Linked DNA regions of Xenopus tropicalis. The protein of the gene in region 1 binds, or shares a complex with, the protein of each later gene. Links are inferred from orthologs where the notes say so. Each region holds a gene or a part of one and is shown in the gene's direction. Other genes may lie near its edges.

The links.
Region 2: the proteins of arrb1 (region 1) and ap2b1 are in contact, whole or in part, in a crystal structure (PDB 2IV8), measured with the Homo sapiens proteins. The link is inferred for Xenopus tropicalis from reciprocal best matches to the Homo sapiens genes ARRB1 and AP2B1. Residues at the interface, in NP_004032.2 of Homo sapiens: Asp384, Asp385, Val387, Phe388, Glu389, Phe391, Ala392, Arg393, Arg395, Leu396; in NP_001273.1 of Homo sapiens: Arg834, Gln835, Phe837, Leu838, Trp841, Lys842, Asn846, Glu849, Ile876, Ala877, Arg879, Val881, Glu882, Gln884, Tyr888, Glu902, Arg904.

The regions. Positions count from the first base shown.
Region 1 is NC_030678.2:175,779,988-175,788,936, forward strand, and holds the start of arrb1 (beta-arrestin-1), read left to right. Parts: upstream 1-4,189; 5' UTR 4,190-4,533; coding exon 4,534-4,679; intron 4,680-8,949. UniProt on the Homo sapiens protein: Functions in regulating agonist-mediated G-protein coupled receptor (GPCR) signaling by mediating both receptor desensitization and resensitization processes.
Region 2 is NC_030678.2:93,557,756-93,563,748, forward strand, and holds part of ap2b1 (AP-2 complex subunit beta), read left to right. Parts: intron 1-555; coding exon 556-701; intron 702-2,065; coding exon 2,066-2,195; intron 2,196-4,241; coding exon 4,242-4,326; intron 4,327-5,617; coding exon 5,618-5,704; intron 5,705-5,993. UniProt on the Homo sapiens protein: Component of the adaptor protein complex 2 (AP-2). Adaptor protein complexes function in protein transport via transport vesicles in different membrane traffic pathways.

The DNA.
Region 1 (8,949 bases):
GTGCCGGGGCTCAGTAGGACTATGGGCCGGGGCTCAGTAGGACTATGGGCCGGGGCTCAGTAGGACTATGTGCCGGGGCTCAGTAGGACTATGGGCCGGGGCTCAGTCGGACTATGGGCCGGGGCTCAGTCGGACTATGGGCCGGGGCTCAGTCGGACTATGGGCCGGGGCTCAGTCGGACTATGGGCCGGGGCTCAGTCGGACTATGGGCCGGGGCTCAGTAGGACTATGGGCCGGGGCTCAGTAGGACTATGGGCAGGGGCTCAGTAGGGCTATGGGCAGGGGCTCAGTAGGGCTATGGGCCGGGGCTCAGTAGGACTATGGGCAGGGGCTCAGTAGGGCTATGGGCCGGGGCTCAGTAGGACTATGGGCAGGGGCTCAGTAGGGCTATGGGCAGGGGCTCAGTAGGGCTATGGGCCGGGGCTCAGTAGGACTATGGGCAGGGGCTCAGTAGGGCTATGGGCAGGGGCTCAGTAGGGCTATGGGCCGGGGCTCAGTAGGACTATGGGCAGGGGCTCAGTAGGACTATGTGCCGGGGGTTAATGGGACTATGTGCTCAGATCCCCGTATGAGAGGGCTGGTAGGGCACCATGAAGGTTCCGGCCGGAGATGTCCATGCTGAATAGCGAAGCTTCACACTCACTCAACAAACAGAAGCTTTTGTCTTATCCGCTGCTTAGAGCCCCATCCATTTCTGCCCTTCACTAGATCCACATGGGCTACAAACTGTCCAATATGGAGGGATTAGATGGAAAATCTGAAAGTGAAAATATTGATTTTCATCATCACAAATCCATTTAGGTTTCGAAGCTGCAAGAAAGGGGCAACGGCTCTCAGCACTCTCGGCTGCACTCTCGGCTGCACTCTCGGCTGCACTCTCGGCTCAAACACAAAGCACTTTTGGGATGGAATAAAGGTTTATGATGGGCTGGGTGTAGGGCAGCCATCTTGGTGTATTATGGAAATGTCCCTTGGGGGGCGGGGCTTACTGTCAGTAGGTACAGGCTACGTTTCTTGGCCGGGGTGCCGGGACTCCATGGAGGAAGGACTTTGTGAGCTGTTTGGGAAGTGAGTCCTTTAACGTGTGGCACAAACTGACTCGAGTAGCGTTTGAGTAGCAAATAAACATAGGAGTACGGCCTATTGGCTTGTAGTAAGGCACTGGGGTACGAGCAAAAGTACCATTATTCCTACTCCAAAGTCTGTCCAACCCCATCCTATGTGCAATTACTCCTACTCCGTATTCTATACAATCCCATCAAATGCATAACTATAACTCTTACTCCATTCTCTCCTCAGCCCCATACTCATTAGGATTACTCTTACTTCATAGTCTGCACAACCCCACCTTGTGTATAACTACTCTTACTCTATTCTCTACTCAGCCCCATAGTCTTATCCAACCCCATCCTATGTGCAATTACTCCTACTCCATATTCTGTGCAACTCCATGCATGCTCCATTCCCTACTCCACCCTGTCCTATAAGGATTACTCTTTCCCCAGCTCTGTGTAACTCCATCATATGCAGAGTCACTAATACTCTTATCAAACCCCATCTTATGCGGGATACCCTCTACTCTTCCCTACACAGGAGTATGCATACTACTAACTCTATCCAACCCCATGCAGTGCATTATTACTCTAACTCCATACTAATTACCCCATCCTATGCATGACTACTTATAATCCACACTCATGCAGAATTCTCTGTGCTCTCCTCAACCCATACGCTATTGCCCTACTCCATGCTGGTCCTGCTGTTTGTACCTACTCCTACTGCACACTCGCTAATTACTCCCTACTTCTGCACAGCTTAATGTATTACTATGCTGTTTTTGTATGAATCAATAGAGTGTCCCACCCAATCCTATTTATGACGAGTCTTACTCCAATCTTGGCCTGACCTCGCTGCCTGTTTGTTCCCACTGATTTGATTTACTTTTAATTAGAAATTCAAACCAACGAGAAATGAGCCTCATACATCAGAACGATCCGGGCTCTGCTGAGCGTCGGCGCCCCCCTCTCGCCGCTTGGTGTTTGTTCAGCAACAAGACAAGTCCCTGGACCCCTAAACTTGTTCCTAGCAACCAACAGCCCCGACTGGGGGCAATAGATCTCTAGGCAGTAGCCTGTAGAACCTGCATGTTGTTCTTCCGCAGTGGCCTTTAGTCAAGTCTATTCCTTTTTGGACGGCGGTGTTAATCTTTCCGCATTTGTTTTGTGACCTCAGACATGTTTGTCATTGTAAGGCCGATGGAAACACTCAAATATTTATCCCCCAGTTTTTAAACCCCACTGGTGTTTGTTGGCAGGAGAGGGGAAATGAGACAATACATGGAGGCATGAACATGTTCCTGCACTTGCCCATGCTTTCCGAGACATCCCTCTTGCCCCCATTGCGCCCATTCACACTGGGGAACCCTGGAGCTACTGCCACCCTGGACCTTGGGTTCCCGCATCAGGTTGGGTCAATGCACTAGGCTGGCACCCAATGAACTCTCTGATATGGTAGGGGCATTAATACACCCACTTCTGTTGGTCCTTCCATAGTTTCCCTTTGGGTGGTCCTTGCGGGGTGACACCCAAAGGTGTTTATACCTCGTACTAGACCAGGCCTCACAACATGGCATTTATGGGCACAACTCCATGGCATATGGAACGGAAGTTGTTGTTGGCTTTTGCAGCCACTGCCTGGCACTGAGCTCCTCTCCTGAGTTTACTTCTGAGTTATTTTCATATCTCTCCATAGTTTCCCTTTGGGTGGTCCTTCCGGGGTGACACCCAAAGGTGTTTATTCCTCGTACTAGACCAGGCCTCACAACATGGCATTTATGGGCACAACTCCATGGCATATGGAACGGAAGTTGTTGTTGGCTTTTGCAGCCACTGCCTGGCACTGAGCTCCTCTGCTTAGTTTACTTCTGAGTTATTTTCATATCTCCCCATAGTTTCCCTTTGGGTGGTCCTTGCGGGGTGACACCCAAAGGTGTTTATACCACGTACTAGACCAGGCCTCACAACATGGCATTTATGGGCACAACTCCATGGCATATGGAACGGAAGTTGTTGTTGGCTTTTGCAGCCACTGCCTGGCACTGAGCTCTTCTGCTGAGTATTTTTCTGTGTTATTTTCATATCTCTCCATAGTTTCCCTTTGGGTGGTCCTTCTGGGGTGACACCCAAAGGTGCTTATACCTTCCGTGTACTAGACCAGGCCTCACAACATGGCATTTATGGGCAAAACTCCATGGCATGTGGAACAGAAGTTGTTGTTGGCTTTTGCAGTCACTGCCTGGCACTGAGCTCTTTTGCTGAATTTACTTCAGCATATCTCTCCATAGTTTCCCCGTTTGGATGACATTTAGCGGCTTTGATTTTATTCCCAAAATATAAACCAGACATTCATCTCCATGGATTGTGACCTTACGTTCACTCGCCCTGACTATTCCCAAACCCCTCAACGGAATTTATTTCTCTATTTTCTCCAGAGATTGATGCTTTTGGCCCACATCCAGACTTGGGGTTTTGTTTTTATAATACTCTTGTATGTGTTTTTGTATTTGTATGATTTAAAGGCAAAGTATTCTATTATTTGAATTGTGTTTTGTTTTGTTTATTTTGCCTGTTTCTGGTCCTGACTACATGCACCTCTCCCCCAGGCCTACACTCTAATTCCAACAGCAGAGATAGGAACCCTGCTTACTGGGCTGCCCTGGGAAATATGTTGTACAAGCAAAGCTAATTCACCTTTAAAGCATCTTGCCATACTTTCTTTATTTTGGTCCTGTTTCCATCATTTCCCACTGCTTCTATCCTGACCTACTGTCTCCATCTTGCCCTACTGTCTCCATCTTGCCCTACTGTCTCCATCTTGCCCTACTGTCTCCCATCTTGCCCTACTGTCTTCATTTTGCCCTACTGTCTCCATCTTGCCCTACTGTCTCCATCTTGCCCTACTGTCTCCATCTTGCCCTACTGTCTCCATCTTGCCCTACTGCCTCCATCTTGTCCTACTGTCCCCATCTTGCCCTACTGTCTCCATCATGACCTACTGTCGCCCTCTTGCCCTATTGACCATTGCCCTATCTTACCATTCTTCCTATCCCACTGTCTCCATCATATCTTACAATCCCCATTGTATCTTGCTGTTGCCATTTTGCTGGGGGGAATATTTGGGCCCCCTATCTCTGTCTCTGCATTCCCGCTGGCTGGGGAGGGTCTCACCCATACCCGCGGGAGGCTGCAGAGATTTGATATGCTGGTGTTGTGCCCGCGGCACGCTGTACTGCCGATGACGACACGAGCCAATCAGACTTGCACGCAGGGCATAACACAGTAAATGGGAGAATTTTGATGCAGCTGCTTGGATTGAGAGAGAGCGAGAGAGCGAGAGAGCGGCTGAGATTCCAGCCCGTGGGTAGTCGCTGCCATTGGAGAGAATAAAGGAATCAGTGGGGGGGAGAGAGCTGAGAGGGAAGGGACCGTCGCACACCTCGCTGGCTGGCAGGGCTGCAGTGATGCCGGTGCCTAGATGGATTACATGTGGATTGACAGCCCGTACCTAAGGATCAGAACCGTATTGGAGGAGTCGGTTCCTGCTTGCGTGGTGGCACCGCTGGGAATCCGCTGTGGGGAGCTGGAAGCCCACAAGGCCGCGCCAATGGAGAACGTATTTCTGTGAGTAAGGACAGGTCTGTGGCACAATGTGTGTCGGACTGGGCACAAGGAATCACCCACAGCGATGCCCCCTCGTGCCAACATGACCCCCGGGGTGTTACCTCTAATGAGCAAATCCCACTGTTATTCCCCTTAATGCCCGGTGCTTGCAGTGCCCCCTCTTTCTGTGGCCGGGCTGCCTTTAGTGCCCTGCAGTTTGTGTGGCCCCCAAGCTGTATGCAAAGGGACCCTCAGGGATTGGCTGTAACTGTAGTATAGTGTGTATAGTAAGGCAAGATGGGGCTCGGCATAGGGGCTACAGTGCTGGACAGTGTGCAGAATAAGGTAAGGTGGTGCCAGGAGAAGGGGCTCTAACTATGGCATAATGTGTATAGTAAGGCAAGATGGCACTCGGCATAGGGGCTACAGTGCCAGGAGAAGGGGCTCTAACTATGGCATAATGTGTATAGTAGGCAAGATGGCACTCGGCATAGGGGCTACAGTGCCAGGAGAAGGGGCTCTAACTATGGCATAATGTGTATAGTAAGGCAAGATGGCACTCGGCATAGGGGCTACAGTGCCAGGAGAAGGGGCTCTAACTATGGCATAATGTGTATAGTAGGCAAGATGGCACTCGGCATAGGGGCTACAGTGCCAGGAGAAGGGGCTCTAACTATGGCATAATGTGTATAGTAAGGCAAGATGATGGTAGGTGTACAGGCTGTAACTGGGGGGGGATGCTATGAAATGTAGAAATATGTAATAGGCTGCAGGGGGGCCCCGTAACTTGGCACAACCCTGCCCTGTTCTGGTATAGAGTTTGCACCCTTTGTGCACTGGCACCTCATTCCCAGTGGAACCCATTGGGCACGTAACCCCTAAAGGACTTGTGTCACTGGGAAGCTCTTGGAATACAGAAATGACGTCACAATAGTGCGGCCAATAATGTCATTTAATGGGGCTCTTGGCATTTTAGCAGCTATATGGTCGATAGGGTCCAAATTATCTTAGCAACCAGGCAGTGGTTGGAATGAGAGACTGGGATACGAATAGAAGTGGGACTGAATAGAAAGAAAAGTTACAGAGCTGTAACAATAAAACTGTGGCCGCACAGAGCAATGGGTCATTGGTTCCCAAGAGCACAATGGAGGCAATTCATTGGCTGAGTGACAGTGGGATGTGCAATCTGGCGGGGGGGGGGTGGGGGTCATATAATTAGATTAGGGCTGATAAGAGGATTAGCGTTAGGGAGAGTGGGATAAATATATAAGGCGCTTTGGCTGAGCAATGAAGCCTTTGGGGTAATTACCTTCCTTATCCGCTGGCCCAATCCGGGGCAACTGGAAGTGACCTGGATATTTAGGTGCTCTAATACCATCCAAGGCTGTAGTTGTATAACCAGGCACCCATGGGTGCTATAATTGGGCTCCCAAAACCTCTATTCGAAGTCTGGGAGCCCATTGGCCCTGTGACTTGTATCTTTCTGGGTGCAATTAAGGACTCAGCAGCAGGGGAGGGGGGTGACTGGTCTGGGGCCCAATCACAGTGCAGGGACGGGGCCATAGCCATTGTCATAGGACTGCAAAAGGTACAGGGTTTGCTGGTGAGATGGGCAGGGGTCTGGGCAGGTAAGAGGGTAACAGGGCAGACTGGGGGTTTTGCTATGTATGTACCTAGCCTTGGTTACATGGATTCTAGGGCTCAGGGCCTGTGTGTGGGCGGGGGGGCTAATAACCCAGGCTCCATTGTGGGGAAAGCCCTGCTGATAGCATGTGGCCCAGTCATCTGTCGGACCTGCCAAATATCCTGCATTTTTGCCCCCCGTATATTTAATGGTGATATAAACCCAGCCATGATGCTGCCCCACGGCGCCCCCTAGTTTTGCTATAGAAGCTGCCAAAAACCATCATTACAGATGCAAGGAAATTCCCCAATGAGAATTGTACTGATAAATAAGTTGATTATAAATGCAAAAGAACTGCCCAGTGAGAATGCTGATTCCCAGCACTGTGTCAGGCCCCTTGCTGGTACCTTACATATAGAGATAATGATGGCATTTTCTCCCCTCATTATATGGCACAGGAATCAGACATGGGGATAAAGGGACAGACTTGTTCAGTGCTGGGAAACTGTGCTTATTGCTCCCAACTCCAATTGCAGGAACAGAGAACAGGGAGCCGGATTTACTCACATCAGCTGGGATTCTCATTGGAGGATTTTTCGCATGTTAAAGCAGTCGCTGGCTGTGGGGATTTGGGGGAAAGTTTTATTGTGCAATATTGCTTTAAGAATACAGCCCTGATGTTGCTGGACTACAGCTCCCAGCATGCCCCAAGCTTCATTATATGTTACATTATTGTGGGATTTGTAGCCCAGTAACAACTGAGTAACGTTGGGTTGAGCCGCGCTGGGCAGCAGGGTTTGTATCCCCTTTAACCTTGGGTGAGCCAATGAGAGTACATGGTCAGGGAATAATCAGGAGTGGCTGGGACATGGCCATTAGGGGGGCACAGGGGGAGTCCAACCAGTTGTTATATAACTGCCCCCCCAGGTGAGCCTTTGCCCCCCCGCCAGTCATATGAGTGCATTTATTAGGTTACCATGGCGGCACCTTGGCACTGTATGTGGGCACAGAGCTGGCATCGGGTGTTGGATTGCTGGCAGGATTCCTTATCACCCTGGCAAAATATTTGAGGATTAAGAGGAGTTTAATTGCTCATTGTTAGCGTTTGGAAGCAAATTCACGGCGGTAGGCGTGGCGCATTAACCCTCGTTATACCGGAGGGGCCCCGGGTGTGTTCCCTTTATCCCAGTGTGGGGCTCAGTCCCTGAAGCCCAAACCCCCCAGCGCTAAACATGACACATAGGGTTTCATCATAGGGAAGTGAGGGCATAATCCCCGGGCCCCCCAATATTTGTACCATCAAGAGGCACAGGGGGGCCCAAGAGAAATAAAATTGTTATTGGTTATTTGGAGTGGGTGAAATTTGGGTGCAATGTTGGCACAGTTTTAGCTTTATGGGTCGGGACTGGGATATGGGGTGTGTCTGTGTGTGTTCTCATTGGGGTCCCATTTCGCATGTTGGCAGGATCCTCCCCCTGGGGGTCTAGGTGACCAATGGTAGTGGGGTAACTATAGTGGGCAAGATTTCCACACTGAAACTTACCATGCACATACCATGGGGGGCTGAGCCTAGGGGTTCTGCCCCCCCCCGGGTAGATATGCTTCTACCCAGTGGGTAAATAATTGGGGCTCCCTAGGGTGGAGGGCCCTGCTAACTTAGTACAGGTATGGGATCCCTTATCCGGAAACCCCTTATCCAGAAAGTTCTGAATTACGGAAAAGCCATCTCCCATAGACTCCATTATAAGCAAATCATTCTAATTTTTAAAAATTATTTCCTTTTTCTCTGTAATAATAAAACAGTACCTGTACTTGATCCCAACTAAGATATAATTACCCCTTATTGGGGCAGAACAGCCCTATTGGGTTTATTTAATGGTTAAATGATTCCCTTTTCTCTGTAATAATAAAACAGTACCTGTACTTGATCCCAACTAAGATATAATTACCCCTTATTGGGGCAGAACAGCCCTATTGGGTTTATTTAATGGTTAAATGATTCCCTTTTCTCTGTAATAATAAAACAGTACCTGTACTTGATCCCAACTAAGATATAATTACCCCTTATTGGGGCAGAACAGCCCTATTGGGTTTATTTAATGGTTAAATGATTCCCTTTTACTCTGTAATAATAAAACAGTATCTGTACTTGATCCCAACTAAGATATAATTACCCCTTATTGGGGCAGAACAGCCCTATTGGGTTTATTTAATGGTTAAATGATTCCCTTTTCTCTGTAATAATAAAACAGTACCTGTACTTGATCCCAACTAAGATATAATTACCCCTTATTGGGGGCAGAACAGCCCTATTGGGTTTATTTAATGGTTAAATGATTCCCTTTTCTCTGTAATAATAAAACAGTATCTGTACTTGATCCCAACTAAGATATAATTACCCCTTATTGGGGCAGAACAGCCCTATTGGGTTTATTTAATGGTTAAATGATTCCCTTTTCTCTGTAATAATAAAACAGTACCTGTACTTGATCCCAACTAAGATATAATTACAGGATTTTTAGCAGACTTCAAGTTATGAAGATCCAAATTACGGAAAGATCCCTTATCCGGAAAACCCCATTCTGGATAATAGGTCCTATACCTGTAGTATGGGGCCCAGGGATTCCCCGTGGCACACACTGATAGATGCCAAGTATAATGCCCAGT
Region 2 (5,993 bases), about 82 Mb from region 1:
GTGCCTCCACCGGGAAGCCGACATTATGTTTATCCACAGGCCAAGAATTGGCCCTGTGTGGCATTAGCCTTAGATATAAACATAAAGTGGCGGTGGTGGTAAAACCAGTAAAATTCTGCATTTGGTTTATAATCTGCTTTGAAAAAAGTTTTTTTATAAATAAGCCCACACTTTCATAGAATATAACAAGAAAATTCTTTATGACAAAATTATTTTGGTACTGTCATTATGCTTTCTGTAAAACACTGGGAATCTTCAGATGTACTGAAGCACATAAAAGCAGGTTGTATTGTATATTTGCAAATTCACAGGCCTACACTTATTTCAAAGCAGTCTGAGCTAATTTAAAGTGCATTTAACTACCTTCTGAGTGCAGATCTATGTTGTATGGCTGTGTATTTTTGGAAGAAATAAATTCTAATTATATTTATTGAATTGCAGTTAATGCATTTACAGCTATTGGTACACACTGCTGGTAAATGTATGAGGGTTTATGAACTTGTGATGTAAATAATACCTCTTAAAACTCATGGTTCCCTGGAATTTTTCTCCCAGGTCTGGTTACCTGCTGTAAAAGCCAAAGGCTTGGAGATCTCTGGTACATTCTCCCACAGGCAAGCACACATCTACATGGATATGAGTTTCACCAACAAAGCTTTGCAGCACATGACTGACTTTGCAATACAGTTTAATAAGAACAGGTAAGACACTTAGAATTTTTTATTATCTGTTATGTATATAGGGCTACCATGTTTATGCAGTGCTTTACACGGATTGTTTGTCATTCATATCTGTCCCTGCCCCTGTGTATAAGCTTATAGCCTACGGTCCCTCATCACATTCACCCACAAAGATTAGCTTCTAGATCAGTCCACTGGGTTCTTCAGAATTGCAGTCATTTTTCATATTTTATTACTTTATCTTTCTGGGCTCTTTGTTTCCTTGTGTCCAATTCTATATGCCCCATGGCATATAAATAAAATATAATACAGATATAATGTTAATATTTAACAATATTGTTAGAAAAGGACAAACATATGAGAAATCCACCCAATGGTAACTGATCATTCTTACTAATGCTTCTTCCCATGAAATATTCACATTTAAATAACATTTAGCATAAATGAACTGTTCTGTAGATCTCTGATCTGTGAGCCAGTTTTGAAGTATTTATAAAACACTGATATTTAACACAAAATTGTACAGTTCTGAAGGGGCATTTCAGTACATGCAAACTAGGAACAAATATTGACTAATATAAAGGGTAAAGAAGACCCACAAAGATTGTGGGAAAGAGGACAGACAAACATTTGCATGTTCTGTTTAGTTGAGACTGGACCACTGCTTTTCTTGCCTACCTTAATAGGTGTTGTGATAGATTCATTTTCTTAATGTAATGTCAACTGAAGGTTGCTGTATGCGTGGACCCTGGACAGTTGGATTATGAAGCACACATTATGTCATCTAATTGGCTGATTTACATTCTCTGTGTAGTGCACTGCTTTTCACAGTCTAGCCACTTTTATCCCATGCTTTGGTACTTGTACTACATGGAAGCAGTTGGATTTTGGCTGTATAGCCACTGTAGGGCAGAGTGGTGAGAACCACTTGCTTTCCCTAGTGCTTTATTTACTGCAGGTTCTGAGCTGTTTTCTGTAGCATGCCGACTTCTCAGCACATTTTGGTACAGTAGTTGGCTTAAAGGAGAAGGATTTTACTGCCAATAGATTCACCATATTAGTGCCACCTAGAACACTATTTATTCTGCAGAAAGCATTACCATACCTGAGTAAAGAGCCTTATGGGATGAGGAATCAGGAGAGGGGCGAGAGAAGAGAACGGCGCTGACTCTAAAGTCAGATACCAGAAGAACATATTTACAAAAAAGGAGACAAGAAATACTGTGTTTCTTTTGATAGAGGACTATCTGTATTTACATAGACATTTCTGTTAAAGCTTAATTAGTTTTAACCTTTCCTTCTCCTCTAAGGAATGTTACCCTAATAATTATTTCATGGCATTTGGACTGTTCAGAAGTGTCTAATTTCTTTCTATTTTCCCTTAGCTTTGGTGTCATTCCCAGTGCCCCTCTGGCGATTCATACTCCCCTCATGCCCAACCAAAGTATTGACATTTCTCTTCCTCTAAACACCCTTGGGCCTGTTATGAAAATGGAGCCCCTTAACAATCTCCAGGTAATATATATCTCTTTTTTTACATTACAGTAGTGGTTGTGATCATGAAGTTAATTAGTAGGGGCTGAAGATCTTTATTACCATTCATAACATAAACAGTGTGTGCGTGCATGTATGCAAATGTTTGTGGATAGATGATATTTAACTTGGGATTTAAATAGCTTCTGTAGAATTAATAAAAGTTTTTCATGGAAACCCAGGACCAGGACGAATCATGATTTTTAAAACAATGGAGTTGCCACTTTAAATTGCCGCAACAAAAACCTTTAAGACCATGGATTTTATCACCTATGTAGTGGCATCCAACATTTTTGCATACCAGCCAACACTTTGCTCATAAGCTTGATTGTATTGAAGTTATGATGGGGGGACATGTCATAAAAATCATGTTTCGGTTGTCAGACAACCCTGACCTACATTACTGCCCAACAACAACCTTGGTAGAGCCAGATAGCAGTAGACACAACAATAAAGAACTGTAATATGTGTATAAAGCCGAGGCTGACATTAATTGAAGCAAATTTACTGAATATCCATTTAGAAATCTATGTATTCTCATAGATCCACTTGCTTACTCTATTGATTTTTACTGAGGCATCTACAGAAATCAAGTACCCATGACAGACCTGCAACTCTATTATTGCTTTTTATTTATATTATAGCTTTTACAGTTTGAGACAAAATTTGTATTCGTTGTTTTTTTGGGATTTGATTTTGCAGCCTAGATTGTATGCCTTTTTTTAAACCTACATTTTATGTATATCTTTCGAAATTCATAAGCTACTGGGGGGTCCTTTATAAACATTGGGCATATTTGCACCTAGGCATTAACCCATGACAACCAATCAGATGATTTTTTTCAGTGTTTAACCTGTAGCTGGCTATAAAAACATAATAACTGATAGGTTGCTATGGGTTACTGCTGAGGTGCAGATTTGCCTAGTGTCCATACATGTAGTGGTGCTCCTTCTGCTTATAGATGAAATGTATAACTCCAGTCAACTAATAAAGAGCACTTTATTGGTGCTGAGATCTTTATAAATAAGACCCACTGTCTGTCTAAGGTGAAATTAGAATAATCACACATCACTTATTCTGGCTAATTATGCTTTAAAAAGAAAGCAAAGATGCTACTGGTGTATAATCTAGGTCTGCAGCTACATACTGTTATTAGTAACTTAGACCTGAGGTGTTTAATTTACAGTTTATTAGATAAGGAGTGGGGGCACAACACTGTCTCCTTGACCTCTAACACTTCTGTAAAAGTATCCCCAAATAAAGAAGTATTATAGGGAAGATGTTTTTTTAAAGAAGATGACATTTATTTACATGGATATTGATTAATGCATGTTGAATGCATGTTACTTTTGGAGCACTGCTGTACTGTACATGGGTGTGGAATAAAACAGAACCATAGCACACTTTCATATAACTCAGTGGATAGGAGATGTGTCATTGAAGCTGCCACTTGATGTACTATAATTCAGTTAGATGTAGCTAGAAAATTGACTTGGCTAAGGCCATACTGAGGCAGTGTCCTGTCTCTTGGGTATTAGCTGGCTGTCAGGGTTTCTTTTATTTATGAGTACTCTGGGGAGCACATCAAAAGCTGCTTTCTAAGTATAGTTTGGATGGAGTTAGCAGTGTATTCAGAGTAAATGCTAAATCAAGCAAGCTTCAGGACATTTCTTATCTAAACACATATATGTACACGTGACCCCAGAAGGTTATGTAATGTTTATATTTATTAGCCAATAGTTGTATCATAGTGCAAACATATGATGCGTCAAAAAGAACCTACACACAATACATTTGGATTCTAGCACACACAAAAATACTCAACTGTAATTAAAAAGCCATCCACTTATTTATAAAACTGTAGACAGTTGTTGGTTTTGTGCATGTAGCTGAGAAGGTGAATTCTAAAAGACTGAAAGGCTGCTTTGAACGTGTTAATGGCTGTTGTGAAGCCTGTACATTAGGTTAGGGATTGCTGTGAACCTGCCATAATTCTTACGTTTCACACTACTCTTTTGTGTATTCTAGGTGGCTGTGAAAAATAACATCGACGTGTTCTACTTCAGTTGTCTTATCCCTCTACATGTGCTCTTTGTGGAGGATGGCAAAATGGGTAAGGAAAGATCTGATATGTAAGGTTTAAAGGGACTTCTTCTGTAGGGTGCACATCAGTTTGCAATATTGTAAATTTATCATCGTTTGTTTGGTATTGCATCAATTTCTATTATATTGTACAGCCTATTGTAATGGAGCGTGGTATATTCTGCTCAACTGTAATGATTGTGTTAGTGTCCTCACTAGCTGCTACCTTCTCTACCAAGGACTTGATTGGAGTTTAAAACTCAACAGAGGAGCTATAAAAAGGTATGGCAGCAGCGCTTAGAGATTATAGCCAAGATTTATTGGATTGTATCCTGTGCTGAAGGACATCTTAAAGTTCAACAGCTAGAAAAAGCTGTAAAATGTCCCTAGTAGTAATTTATCCTAATGGATTCCTAGTGTAACAATGCCAGTGGTTAAATCATGACTTATGACAACAGAACCTCTTGCATCTCTTGGACTGTATGTAAAAATCCTGTTATGTGCAAATGAAAAGCATGTTATTCATTATGTCTACCTTCTTTACTGACACTGGAATTTTTGCTCTGTTGGCTTGTGCCATCTATACCAATGGTATTCCTGTTTAGAAAATGAATTAAAAAGAGCTTATAAGGCACAGATCCCACATAAGTCCGAACTCTATTCCTTGAGGTTCCTCTCTCCATGTTAGCGACCCTCACTCCTAGTTTTCCAGAGTCCCTCAAAGGTCCTGGGAGTGGAGTTCTTTGTGTCTTGCACACAACACAGAGGATGCCTTTACCATTAAATGGCTTCTTCCTAAGCAATGGCACCTTGTATTTTCAAAATTGTAAAGCATAATTGGCATTCTTGCCCTCTAGCTTTATTGTCCATTTACAAAGTCCACAGGAGAAACATCTTTTATTTTTCTCTTACTAACTCTTCTATTGTCCTTTTGCACCATCCCAAATGCTTTTTACTTATAATAAACAGGTAAATGAATTGCTTTTAAAAACATCAACCAAAGAGAAATATGTTGCTAAAATAAAGGGAAACCCATTTTAAAAAACTGTTACTCCTGTAAAAATGCTCTCAAATTATAATCTGTCCATCAACTCTTTTTTTAATGTAGTGTTTATTATATCTCCCCCCCCCCCCCCCATTCCAATCTGGGGTTATAGATTCTATACCATAACATTTTATGTATAGATGGTTGGTCTGAGAGCAGTCAGTCTGTAGCCTGAATAGGCCACATTTGCCTTTCTTATAGTTTAGTGAATGTTTTCCCTTATTAACTAGTATGAGCATTTTCTTTATATAATAAATATGCATGTGTTGTCTCATAGAACGTCAAGTCTTCCTGGCCACATGGAAGGACATCCCCAATGAGAATGAGCTGCAGTTTCAGATCAAAGATTGCCATTTGAATGCAGGTAAGAAAGTCCAATAAAGCAGGTTTTGCGTTGGCTTACTTCTAAAATGTTTTTTTGGTTTTTTTTTTATGAATTTTGGATGTTTGCTCCCCTTTTATGGAGAGAGTGAGCAGCACTAAATAGTGGTAGGACTCTTGCCACGCTATCCTTTTTACATAAGCTCACTTACTAATGTAAGCTTTAGGGTTAACACAGTACACAAGCCAATATGATGACAGGTCAGACTAGCATATTTAGGGGTTAAATAAACTTGCATAATCGGGGTAACCTTGAGTTTCTGCTATGGACG